Regions from separate parts of the Mus musculus genome. Here all the other regions are reported to be linked to region 1. The links are microRNA targets in miRTarBase. Many come from high-throughput screens and were not tested one by one. Region 1 holds a microRNA gene; each other region holds the end of a gene's coding sequence.

Region 1 (4,249 bases):
GGTTTGCTTTCCTACTGCTAGAACACTGCTGATTCCAAGTCTCTTATTACAAGGATGTGGGTGTGTGTGAATAGCATGGATCTAGGTACCATCTGACACAGTGGGTGTTCTCTACAATAGACAGTCCTATAGCAGGGGTTGGCTGATTAAAAGCCCATCACCGTGCCTCCAAAGCATGCTGGACATGTGTGGGGGTGGCTGTGTCTAACCTGTTAGAAGCAAAGTGGGTGCAACCTACCTGTGATGACCTGGGGTAGAGTTGCCTCGGTGGCTGCCATCTTCCCCAACTTTGGAACACCATATTGGTTGAGAAGTCCTCCTGAGAATGGACAAGATACTGAAGGTTAGAAGCACAGGCAACAGAAATCTGATGTATGGGATGGGTTTTGTCCGTCACTCACTTGTTCATAACTATTAGTGTGTCCTCAGCTGAGGCTGAGGTATGGACCAGAAGGCCTCCATAGTTTGTTCTGATGGGAAGAGAGGTTGACCAAATGTGTTTCAAACACAGAAACCCCTCTTCCACATCCTCAGTTAACAATAACAATGACACCTTCCCAAACTGGACCTTCAGACCTGGCAGGCCTGGGAGGGTTTAGAGGACAAAGGACACCATTCAGAACGATAATCCACTCGCTGGCTTTGTGGAGAACCAGTTATTCCTGTCCCCTGGCTGGATGCTGACAGGACCATCCTTCCCTGAGACTGGGATCTGGACCACGAAGCCTCCAAGATGGGATTTGATACTGAAAAAAAGGTTAGCTGGGTGTGTTTCATTCTCATCAAAGAAACAGAGACCCAGAAAACCTCTCTTCCGGTACCAGAAGCGAACACTGACAAGACTACCTCGGTAATTCCCCAACGTGACCTTCAGACCTGGCAGGCCTGTTGAATGCAGGGTTGCACACTGGATGTTAGTCAAAGTGCTCAAGCAAGCCATTAGTTGATATATATCTGACAGCCATCCCATCACATGCCCCAGTACAGCAGACCTCCATGGCATGATCCTGAAGTTATGTCACAACCAGAGAGCAGTGGCGCAGTAGAGACTGGCTATAGGACTTACCACCATTTTGGGTAACCACAGAAAGGCACAGATGCCCCCAAACCAAAGATGATTCCTCCCACAGATTTAGCATGCAAGTGTGCTAAGGTGACCTGCGACCTGTGCCATATATAAATGGCATACACACACCCTGGTCATGTCTGACAACATGGTACGTTTCTTGAACTTGGATGGCCCCATATCAAGGAAGGGATCCAAGTATAGGACAGCATTGGAAGCCCATCCAATACTACCATAACAGGCACATATGTTGCAAGTACTGAGGATGCTGTCTCCAAGTCTAACAGCGTACAGCTGGCTTATTGCCTCTGTCCCCAAAAGTTGAGATCTCTTCCAGGAAGTTCTCCAAGGGAAGGTTAGATACTGAGGGTTAGTGGACCAGGTCACAAACGGCACAAATATAGCGTGTGCTCTCTGGTCAACCACCTCACGCACCCACACGTGTATCACATGTCGATGCCACTTTCCTGGTCTGCAAGTCACCCTGCCCACGAAGCTGCCAAGCCAGAGAAATTTGCTGAGAAGAAGGCTGCCACACAAGAGTTATTGTCAGACACAAGAAAAGACAAACCCGCTGGCTGGGTTGCGCTAGCACACACATTTAGTGTCCCCACCCCACAGCTGGTGTTAGCTCCAGGAAAGCTCGCAAGGCGGGATTAGATACCGCAAAGAGGTCGACCGTGTAATGTGCGCCATAAATGAAGCGAACGCGCCACGGACCACCTCTCTCCAAGTACCAAGCAGCAGCAGTAGGAAGACCGGGACACTGGCTCTTCCTCAAAGCAGATGTCACCTCCTGGAAGTCTTCCAAGGCGAGATGTGATATTGAGAAGAAGTAGACCATGTGTCCTACGTCATAAATAAAGCGTACACACCATGGTCAACCGCATCTTCAAATACCTTGAGGTAACGCTGGCTGATTCCAGCTCACTTTACTTAATTTGGTGTTACCTCCAAAATGCCTTCTCAATGAGTGTCACAAACTACCAGCAATCGGCATGTGTGGCAATGGCCACAAACTCATGTTTAATGCCACTATGACTTCCAGGATGCCCTGTAAGGCTGGGCTGGGTGCCAAATATTGGCTTTGGATCAAATGGCCAGAGTCGTAGGTAATGAACATGGCCTGTAGCCAAGCACTGGGTAATCTGTGTTGGATAGGGTCTGCCGCCTGAGCCCTACTCTCAATTGGTATGGCTTTCAGAAAGCCCCTGGTGACCGGCTGATGCAGAGATGTGGTGGACCATGCTGTACATGCTGGAATTAACGCACACACTCGACAGTCTACCATCTCCCCAAGTACTGTGCTGAAGCCAGGACAGGATATCTCCCATGAAGTTGGCTCGGTCTCTGGAAAACCCTCACGAATGACTTTGATAACGAGAAGATGTGGACCATACTACATACGACACAGAAGTAGCGCATGTTCTATGGTCAACCATCTTTTCAGGTACCATGGAGAGAGGGTGGTGCAGGAGCTGGCTTCTTTCCTCATGATTATCACTTCCAGGAAACCCTAGATGCAATGTTGAAAAGAGACCACCATGCATTGCCTGCTGCAGATGCAGAGAATATAGCAAAGAGAAGTTTGCAAGGACGCGAAGAGAAGACCCCGTAACTAGCACTGTGCCTTTAAGGAAATATTGTTCACAGGAAGCCCCCAAGGCGCATTCACTATTATGGGAAGGTGGACCAAATTAACATGCGCTGTAAGTAAAGCAAGAAGCATGGACAACCTCTACCCCAAGGCATTTGTCCTTCTGCCTTGCCCCCCCACCCCCAAGGTTAATGGGGCCTCTTTGGAAACCTTCAAAGCTGAAGTTGATATTGAAAAGAGTAGGCCAGGTTACAAATGGTGTTAATAATACACATGCAGTTTGCTTGATCCCTCTTCAGGTACCGTGAGGTCATTGCTGATGCAAGAACCAGAGCCCTGTCTCTGAGGCTAGCAGCATCTTCAGCAAGTTCTCCAAGGCTGGGCTGGAGGTAAGAAGAAGTGAGCCAAGAAGCAACTTTGATCTGTAAGCATACATGGAGGAGCCAGGCTGGGTCATCTTCCTCTAGAAGGCTAGACTTGATATGGAAAAAAAGATACTATATACGAAGCATCAGTGGAAACAGGGACTGTGTCTTCATGCATCTGTCTTTGCACTGTATCATGTAGCCCTAGCTGTCCTTCTATGGGCATAATGTCTTGAAGGCATCTGATGATAGCTTTGCAGATGATGAAAACACGCAGCATCCCTTGATGATGAGCATCTGTGGAGCTAATTGCCACTTTTTCAAGTCCTAAGGAGGGAGGGAGCATGCCCAGTTGGGATGTAGGACACCTTCCTGGAGGTTGTCATCATCCTTGAAGAAGCCCTTAAGGGCTGCACTGAAGCTGACAGGAACACCTTGCCACATGAATTAACAGAGAAAGCACACAAAAAGCAGAGGGATGTTTGGCCAAGCAGCCCGATGTAGAGAGCAAGCCAAAACAACGTTTCTTCTCTCACTTCAGGCTTGCTCGAGGATGGTATGGACTGGATGGCTGGGCTGGATACCAAGAAGCGGTTTACCGTCCCACATACATACTCAAAATGTATGTGGGACGGTAAACCATTTCTTCAAGTACCGCGTGACAGCAAGGACAGCTGTAAGAAGGTTCATGTCTGCCAGGTTGCCTCAGGACACCTCTTCAGGGATGGTGTTGAGAAGAAGCAGGTCATGGAGTCTACTAACCAAGAGTCGCCTAGACACCCCTGTCACTGAGGTCACGAAGAGCACTGATCCCAGAAAGCTTTGTGGTCTCCTCCCCAGAGATGGCAAGAGTTCCCAAGGCAGAGCTCAGCAGAGGAAGGGGGAGATTATGTCATTTCCCATCATGCAGGAAAGAACACACGCCATATTGAAAACCATCTCTTCCAGCATCATGGAGAAGCCCTGATGATGAGTCTACTGGCGTCTCCCCGAAGACAGCATCTTCTCCAGGGGCCTCGGGGATGGATTTGATACTGAGGGTTAGTGGACCGTGTTACATACGTCACAGATAAAGCGTACGCTATACGGTCTACTATCTCTCCAAGTACCACACAGAGACGCCGAGGACAAAGGCTGAGGGCACGTCCAGGAAGCCCTCTGGGCCATTGAGCTGGTGGAATCTTGAGTCTGGCTGGGCACAAAGCATGCATCATGCGGCAG
Region 2 (4,249 bases), not on the chromosome of region 1:
GCAGAGATGTCACCACTTGCAATGGGCTTGGTCCTCCAAACGGATCACAAATCACTAAGACTCAAGACTTGCCTTAGGTCAATCCGATGGAGACATTTTATAACTTGAGGCCCCTCTTTCCAGTTGACTCTAGTTTGTGTCAACTTGATAAAACAAACCCCTACAAGAACAGTTGGTTCTCTGCTTGTACCATGTGTATGGCTTAATGTCATCAGTCCCAGCAGCAAATGCTTTACACTTGAGTCCTTTCACTGGCTCCTGATTTTTTTTCATTTTCATTTGTTAGGGGGCTTTTTTGTTGCTGTGTTAATTTCTCACAATTTTATTGCTACTGCTCTCTACCACCATTTTATGCTTCACTCACAGTATGTATAAACTCAAAAGATTAAAAAAATTACTTAAATCTATTAAATTGCTCTAACTTCAAAATTACTACCTTGAGGTTTATATTTTCAAAAGGGGTGCTATATATTCTTTGCCACTGACAGTTAAAATTTCCCCTTTTATCTAGTAGTACCTTGACTTGCATCTTGATTTGCTATTTTTCTAATTGTTTCTGGCCTACTGCCTGCTCACTGAAGCTGTGCTGAATCCAACCTCTGTAGCCTAACTTTGCAAAATGGCATTCCATAGTAAGCCTCCCCAGGTCTTCTGTTAAGATTCTTAAGGTCACGATCACTGGAGCTGCAGAAGAACTCTAAACCTAGAACTACCGTGGCTGGATGTGGCATTCAGAGGGAACGGAATCAAGACTGCCGAGGGCTGAGGCATACCTGTTGCTATAGGTTACTCTGAGCTGATGGCCATTACAGTCAGTCACCATCTCACTGTCACCACGGGAAAGTGTCCGTGGGGATCTGTGCAAGCCCAGTATTAGAGTCTGAAACCGGATTCTGTACTTTCTTCCTTTGTCCCCACGGAGAGCATGTATCTTCATGCTCTGCTGTTGAGATGTGGGCAAGTGTAACCTAAGTAATGCACAGCTGTCTTTCTATCATTCCCAACTTAGGATGCTGCAACCAGGCTTGCTTGATACACGTCAAGGTATTTTCACATACAATGAATGATTTAAGTGGGTGTTCATGCTGGGAGATAGAAACAGGAGAGACCAATTCTCATAATTCAATTCAGGCATTTGGATGGCATTGAATATGAGCTCAAAAAAGCTTAAAATTCTTTTCTAAATTCACTCTCCTTAAAATGCTTCAGTTGGAATGTGATAAAATATATCAGGATAAATTCATTTTTATTTGAAAAGAGTCAACTACAAACCTCAACGAAACCAAAACAACCAACCATTCTATGACTCCAGGAATTAACAAGAGACCTACAAAAAAGTATGACTTGTTTCTTCATGAAAATCACTAAATTTAACCCAGAACATGATTCTTTGGTGGTCCTGCCAACTCAGGGCAGCTCCTAGTCCCAAGTTCAAACCAGGGTGAAGAAAGACCCTGTAAATAAGATATGTGTGCCAAGAATGATGCACCCAGAGGCTCAGGTGGAAGGATGTCAGTTGGAGGCTAGCCTAGGCTACAAAACAGAACTTTCTGGAAAGGACTCCAAACTAAACAAACAACAAAAAACAAGCAAACAACAAAAGAACCCACCCCAAGAAAAATATAAAAAAGGCTTATCCTCATTTCACCAGAGAACTCAGCTGCCTTGATGTAGTACTGACTAAATCGGATCGCAATGATCAGCCGCTTACTAGCCTAAAACTGTTGGCTACTCTGCAAGATACAATCAGTGTGATCTTTCTGTGATATGAGAAACCCAGAGGACGTTGATAATCACTTCATGAAATATCCTAGGTTTACCAGACATACAGAGCAGAAAATTCTCCAGCTAATTATATCTACACTTGGTTATTAAAGTCTTTGCATACACACAAAGTAGAAGCAATAAAACCAACTAAACTCAAAAGCCACAGTAAACTTGCTATATAATTTACTGAGACTGGGATTCAATTTGGATGTCGATAGTGAAACAGCACTTTTATGTTGAATAGTGATGAAGCTGAAACTTTACATAATACAAGATACAAAACTGTGTAGTCACTTTGAATTTTGAAGGCTTGAAAAAAATTGTCCTAAAACCTAATTGAGGTAATTACACAATTTTAAAAAGGGGGTGGGGGGGTCTTTGGTATCTATATTTACAATGGATATGTTTTATAACATGAAAATTACAGCTCTATGGGACTGTAAAAATGTCTGAAGTCAGGTTAGATAAAACACCGATGTTTTTCCATATGTGTATGCATGAATATGTAGAGAATGAGGGCACAAGAGAGAAAGAACAAACACATGAACATGAGTGACAATGGAGACAGCAAAAAGCAGTGAAAATTAAAACCTGTTGGTCTTAATCAATATAATGGAGCTCTATCAACATTTTTCACTTTGAAATTGTGAAATTTGTGTGTATCAAAAATTTAACATTAAAAAAGGTCAAAATATCATGTAACAAGGTCCCTTTAATTATATCTATCTTCTTTAATAAGGACCATGAACATCCTCAATAAGAAAACAATGTAATTTTAATAGTTCCTTCAAGAATGTAACTTGGTTGTAACACCAATAAAATGCACTCACACTATGGTCTACTGATCTGAATATGAAATTACCTTGTAAACCCTATAATGTGCAGATGGAACAAGCCTTCCAATTCTGACAAGGCGACAGAGAAAGATCATTTTTGAAAGGAATTGAGTTTTTGGTTTCATTTTGATTTTGAGATTCAATGTAATTATACAGATATTCAGAATATAATGTTACTTGTTTACTTCATAAAATATTGTTGTTCTGAAACAAATCTTGTCAGTGAGATAGTAATATTTGAAAAAATGGGCATACATGCTGCATTTTTAATCCATTACAATCATTTAAATTCTGAGTATATCGTCATATTTACAATTCAAATAGTTTCTTTTAAAGGCCATTTTACAAGGTCAATCAAGAACATAATTAAGTACATCTCAATGGCATTTCTACTAATGTAAGTAGAAATGATTTATCCACAGCATTGTTTTCCCCACAGAGAAATGTTACTATCAGGAGATGGTAGCTTTTCAAATTTACCTTCCAAAAAAAAAAAAAAAAAAAAAAAACCTTACCAATAGATAAAGGCACAATTTTTACTCACTTGGAGTAATTACCCACAAAATGATTGCTTGCTTTCAACATGATTGATTGACATTTTTCAATGTCTTTCTTTAATCCTGACAGTTCTTTATTTATCCTTTCACGTATTTGCTATGAGTTACTAATCTCCAATGGTATCATCACAGGAATAACCAAAATCAAATAATGGGACAGAAGATTGACAAAGTGTTTCACATCCTTGAATTATATACCAAGTCAGGAGTGGGGGTTGAAAAATGTTGCAAAGGAGACTGCAGGACTAAGTATATTCTTGTAATAAAACCAGCAATATCAACAGAGTTATCATCTCACTTCCAATTTCTTTCCCTCAAGAACAATTTGAATCTCTTTGGCATCCAAAGTCTCATAGGTCAGCAATGCTTCTGCCAGGTTCTTATGTTCTTTCGCATGTGTTTTCAAGATATGTTTTGCTCGTTCATATGACTCCTGAAAGAGAAAAACAAGTCATATAAGAAAGTATAGAGATGCAAAAAACATAGGTAAGAAAAATATAAAACTAATGTGGTTTAAAAAACATGTTGATTATGGCCTAGTCGGCCATCACTGGAAAGAGAGGCCCATTGGACACGCAGACTTTGTGTGCCCCGGTACAGGGGAACGCCAGGGCCAAAGTGGGGGAGTGGGTGGGTAGGGGAGTGGGGGTGGGTGGGTAAGGGGGACTTTTGGTATAGCATTGGAAATGTAAATGAGCTAAATACCTAATAAAAAATGGAAAAAAAAAAAAAACATGTTGATTTATACTTTAAAAAAGCATTTAAAAGTTTTGTTTAAAATGCAAATTATTTGTACATAATATAAATAGTATATGCAATGCATTACAATAGAAGAATTCAGAAAATGTTTCAAAAGAGCCTTTGCCTTTCCAAAATGTTCATTTTGTCAGTTTTAACTACTAAGGCATTTCTTTTTTTTACCCCCCAAAGCAGCTAAAGCCTGGCTGTGTCCTTGGAAACCTGCTTTCCTGAAGTTCTTACTCTCATGCTAGATGCTTCCCTGTTCCCACCACCATTTCCCTATCATCAGTAGCCTACCTCTTGCAGAAAACACTACTCCCAAGGAGTAAACCATCTGAATACTGCTAC
Region 3 (4,249 bases), not on the chromosome of region 1:
ATATTCTTAATAATTAACTACAGACTTCTACCTTCAAAAACCACAACACACACCTTAAAACTAGAGTAACTAGAATTACATAGCTCTTTCTTTGCTGAATCCATTTGAATTATGTCTAGTCTGTCATAATCTATGAGACATTAACTTCCCAGATCCAGTAGCAAGGGCTCTGGCCCAAATGACGGGGCATACGGGGGAGTCAAAAACCTCAAAACTGCTTACCAATGTCTAGAGTGTTGAGGGGTCATGCCAAACAAGGGGTCATTTGAAGGAGTCTTGTTAGCCTGTTATAAGAATGATCACAAACAATGGGTGGGCCTACATCCCCTGGGTTTCTGGTCAAAAATAGTATTACAGAGCCTTGCGTAGAGTAGAAATGTTGTAATCTATCCATTGAGCCCACACAGGCATGCCAGAAAAGAAAGTGCCTCTGATTCTACCCCTGGGCCTTCTGTCTAATGGAGAATATCATAAGGATTGCAACTCTGTAGCAGCATCCTCATCTTACCCTATCTCTTATGGGAGGTGCATTTGGTCCAAAGGTTGTCCAGAGTGGTAAGGATGCAGGGCAGAGCCATAGTGCCCTTGAGGGGTACCAGAAGTGAACCAGGAGCTATAGAGTAGTGATGGAAGTAATGTTACTGCATTTCTGCCAGCAAGGGGAAGTAAAGATACCAACACAGTTTTAAACACCAAGCTTCTCAGTATCTTACATCAAGGAAATTCAACTCTATCACCTCTGGTAAAGGGGCTATCATTTTATTGGATTTTGGGTATTTGAAAAAAAAAATGTGCCCTGCCTAACAGGTCTTGCTAATTGTCTTATTTTGGGTTTCTATTTCTGTGAAGAGACACTATGACCACAGCAACTCTTATAAACGAAAACATTTAATTGGGGTTGGCTTACAGTTCAGAGGTTTAGTCCATTATCATTATGGTGGGAAGCATCTATCATCTAGGCAGGCAGACACAGTGTTAGAGAAAGGACTGAGCTTTACATCTGGATCAGTAGGCAAGAGAATGAACCACTAGGCCTTGCTTGATCTTCTGAAACCTCAATCCCACTCCCAGTGACAAACTTCCTCCAATAAGGTACACCTACTTTCAACAAGGACACACCTCCTATTAGTGTCATTCCCTATGAGACTATGGGGGTCATTTTCATTGAAAACATTAACACTAATCAAAACCAAATGTATTCAATAGTGTAACTGCCTCACCCTGGTAACATTTAGGTTGTGCATGGAAAGACAGCTACCTGCTTTTTTCAGAAAATGTAATCTCCCATTTAAACTCAAGCCTGCTTGGCTATTCTGTTCTCACAATGTTGGTGATTGAACCCAGGCCCTCACAAACACTAGGTAAATGCTTTACCACTGAGCTACATCCCCAGTAATCTCCCATTTAAGATGAAGCAAAGATGCTGACTCAATGAGCCCTCAATAGAGGTTCCCCAAACTGCTTGAGGCTACTTCACTAACCACTGACCTAAACTGGAGCTTGAAGTGTGCTAATTGTGACTAATAACCCTCTGCACCACCTCTACACAAACACAAGTGGAGTCTGACCAACTTGAGGATAGAATTATAGATTTTATTTCAGACCAGGGTAGAATGTGAGTCTAGACCATTACCTATTATAACCTTTTGAAGGAACTCCAGTCCACTAGTCTATTAGTTGTAACCCCTATTAATCAGAAAGAAAGCAGATGGATCAGAAGTCAGCTACCAACCCACTAGAGAGATACTAGATGACCACTCCTCACCACATACCCAAAGGGGCATTGCAGTAGCTTTTGCTCTCACCATGCCAATGATACTTAAGACACAGGGAGAACAACATGGCTACATCAAGAATCACCATAAATGGCACAACCCCAAGAAGAATACAAAGAACTATAAAACAGATGATAGCACACAGGTGTCAATAAATATATTGTACATACAAAGAGGATTTTAAATACTGCATGGTTTTGACATTAACCATTATTAATTTTTCTGTAATAAAAAGGTATTATGATTTTTTTAAAAGTTTTATACTTTTGGTTGTGAGCCTAGCCTTTAATGGCTAAGCCATCTCTCCAGCCCTTTTTTAAAGTTTTAAAACAAAAAAATATTTAGATTTTTAGTATTGAATACATATGGCAAACAATAAAATGGCAGGTATATTATAATAATTGATAAAAAATACAATTACATGATTGCTATAGGCAAGCAATGGATACTTGGGGAAATCACTGTACTCTCTTTATGTTTCCACAGTAAATAGTGAAAAATCATCTTCAAATTTTTGAGAAAAATATATACCAAGGCTGGTTATACTACCATGTAAGGAAAGATGATTAATATGTATTACAAGTAGAATAACTTATATTGGCTCAAATAAAATCAAAACGTAGTGAGGAAATGCAAATAGGTGAATCCTAATTAGTTTTACACATCCACTGGTAGTTTCAATTTTCAAAAGTATGTCAATGTTAAGGTATGTCAAAAAAGTAATTATGCTTAATGTATGACCTTAAAAATATACTATTGCACAAAGGATCATCTACATATCTAAGAATTCATTTGAGGTAAACCTAACCTTTAACGGGAAGCTTTCTTTATACAATTAATATATTCAAAAATATTTGAAATCTATTAAGCAGTAAGCCCTGTGGGTATAATGAAGATGATAGAAGACTTAACTTCTGGAAGATGCTTTTGTAGTTGGAGTTGAGCTCATGGTAATAGCTATTATGGAATAATGTAAAGTATACATGGATTTTTATATTAAGCAATATTTCTGATGGAGATTGCATTTGATGAAAATAATTTATTACACATATGCTATTCTTATTCTGAATGCCTGGAACATCTCTTTAAAATTTTTGCTTAAGGGACTGGAGAGATGCTCAGCAGTTAAGAGCACTGGTTGCTCTTCAAGTGGTCCTAAGTCCAATTCCCAGCAACCACATGGTGGCTTACAACCATCTGTAATGGGATTTGGCACAGAGTTGAACATGCAGATAGAGTACTCGTATGTAAAAGAAATACATTTCAAATTCTTGCTTAAATGTTGTATTTCATGAAGTTCTTACAGCTGGTTTCCATAAAGACCCACCTACCATATATAATACTTATATTACTTCATGCATTGTTTGCAGAAGTTCATTTAATATTTTTAGTGTTGGTACTTACACTGCCATTTTGGCAACATAATTATAGTAAGTATAAATACCTCTCTTTCTATAGCCTAAAACCAATTTAAAAAGAAAGCATACACCAAGATACCAAAATTTTTTCATGCTTAAAGGCAAATGTATTTGGTTCCTTTTCATGTAACATGTAATAAGGTAACAAATTGAGTTTGGAAAAGGATCTTACATAGGGGAAAAGGAACATTCTTGTTAAGCTACACACCAACCAAGTAAGGAGGGTACTGGAAGAGTTAACACCTACTGTCTCTTCCAACGTGTTAAATTGAGAAGGCCTGAGAAGACCTTGCACCAGGAGAAGCCTATTAAAGCCATTCAGATTTGCTACAACAGGGAGGAAGGCACAGGAGAAGATGAGGAAGAGGAGTGCCGATTGTCCTATGTTGGAGTGTAGAAGCTGCTGGCAAGAAACAAACAACTATAAAAATAGAACAATGAAGTGAAGTTCTTAGGATGCCATGCCAAGCAGAAAGCCTCCAAAAAATCCTCCAGTCACTAGAACATTCTTCTTTACAAATGATACAACCTGAAAAACAGAAGATTTGATACTAAGTTACTTTACTACAAAACTTCCTATTCATCTAAGGTTTAGTACATACATGGATAGGCATTCTGTATGGCTATCTTATCATTTTATTATTCTCCTGACTACTTCAGGAGAAATATGAAATAATACATATCCAACATTCTGACCTAATCATTTCTTTTTGTTTTTGCATTATGTGGTGTGTGTGTAATGTGTTTATTTATTGTACATACATATATATGAATATGTGCACATACGTATGAAGGGCCAAGATTGATAGGTGTCTTCCTGGTTCACTTACATTATATACTGAGGCAGGATCTCTTGCTGGACCTAGAGATTACGATGCAGGCTAGCCAGCTTGCTCTGGTGATTCTTGCCATAGCCCTGGGACTGAAAGCAGACCACCTCACCCACCTGGCCTCACATGAGTGCTAGGAATCCAAAACTGTGGTCTTCAGACTTGCATGGCAATCACTTTACCCACTAAGCCATATCCCCAGGCCAGGCCAAATCAGTTCTTGAAG

The links. Region 1 holds the annotated microRNA mmu-miR-380-5p (AUGGUUGACCAUAGAACAUGCG, at 2,487-2,508, opposite strand). A microRNA usually pairs through its seed, bases 2 to 8, with sites in the 3' UTR of a target mRNA and lowers its output. Matches are read on the target gene's strand: a 7mer-m8 pairs with bases 2 to 8, a 7mer-A1 pairs with bases 2 to 7 and ends in A, and an 8mer does both.
Region 2: the mRNA of Yme1l1 is a reported target of mmu-miR-380-5p. Seed matches in the 3' UTR shown: 7mer-A1 at 2,568-2,574.
Region 3: the mRNA of Fundc2 is a reported target of mmu-miR-380-5p. Seed matches in the 3' UTR shown: 7mer-A1 at 2,042-2,048.

The regions. Positions count from the first base shown.
Region 1 is chr12:109,710,065-109,714,313 of GRCm38, reverse strand. Mir380 (microRNA 380) reads right to left here and starts at 2,511; the gene lies at 2,451-2,511. Mir411 (microRNA 411) reads right to left here and starts at 4,139; the gene lies at 4,058-4,139. It overlaps Mir299a (microRNA 299a), which reads right to left and starts at 3,676; the gene lies at 3,614-3,676. It overlaps Mir299b (microRNA 299b), which reads left to right and starts at 3,621; the gene lies at 3,621-3,669. It also overlaps Mir1197, Mir323, Mir758 and Mir329.
Region 2 is chr2:23,196,232-23,200,480 of GRCm38, reverse strand. It overlaps Yme1l1 (YME1-like 1 (S. cerevisiae)), which reads right to left. Exons shown (of 19, transcript NM_013771.5): 19 at 1,221-3,593. The coding sequence ends at 3,450. Among named protein-coding and RNA genes, the nearest start is that of Potegl, 9.1 kb to the left of the region's middle.
Region 3 is chrX:75,393,783-75,398,031 of GRCm38, reverse strand. Fundc2 (FUN14 domain containing 2) reads right to left here. Exons shown (of 5, transcript NM_026126.4): 5 at 874-3,722. The coding sequence ends at 3,645. Among named protein-coding and RNA genes, the nearest start is that of Fundc2, 14 kb to the right of the region's middle.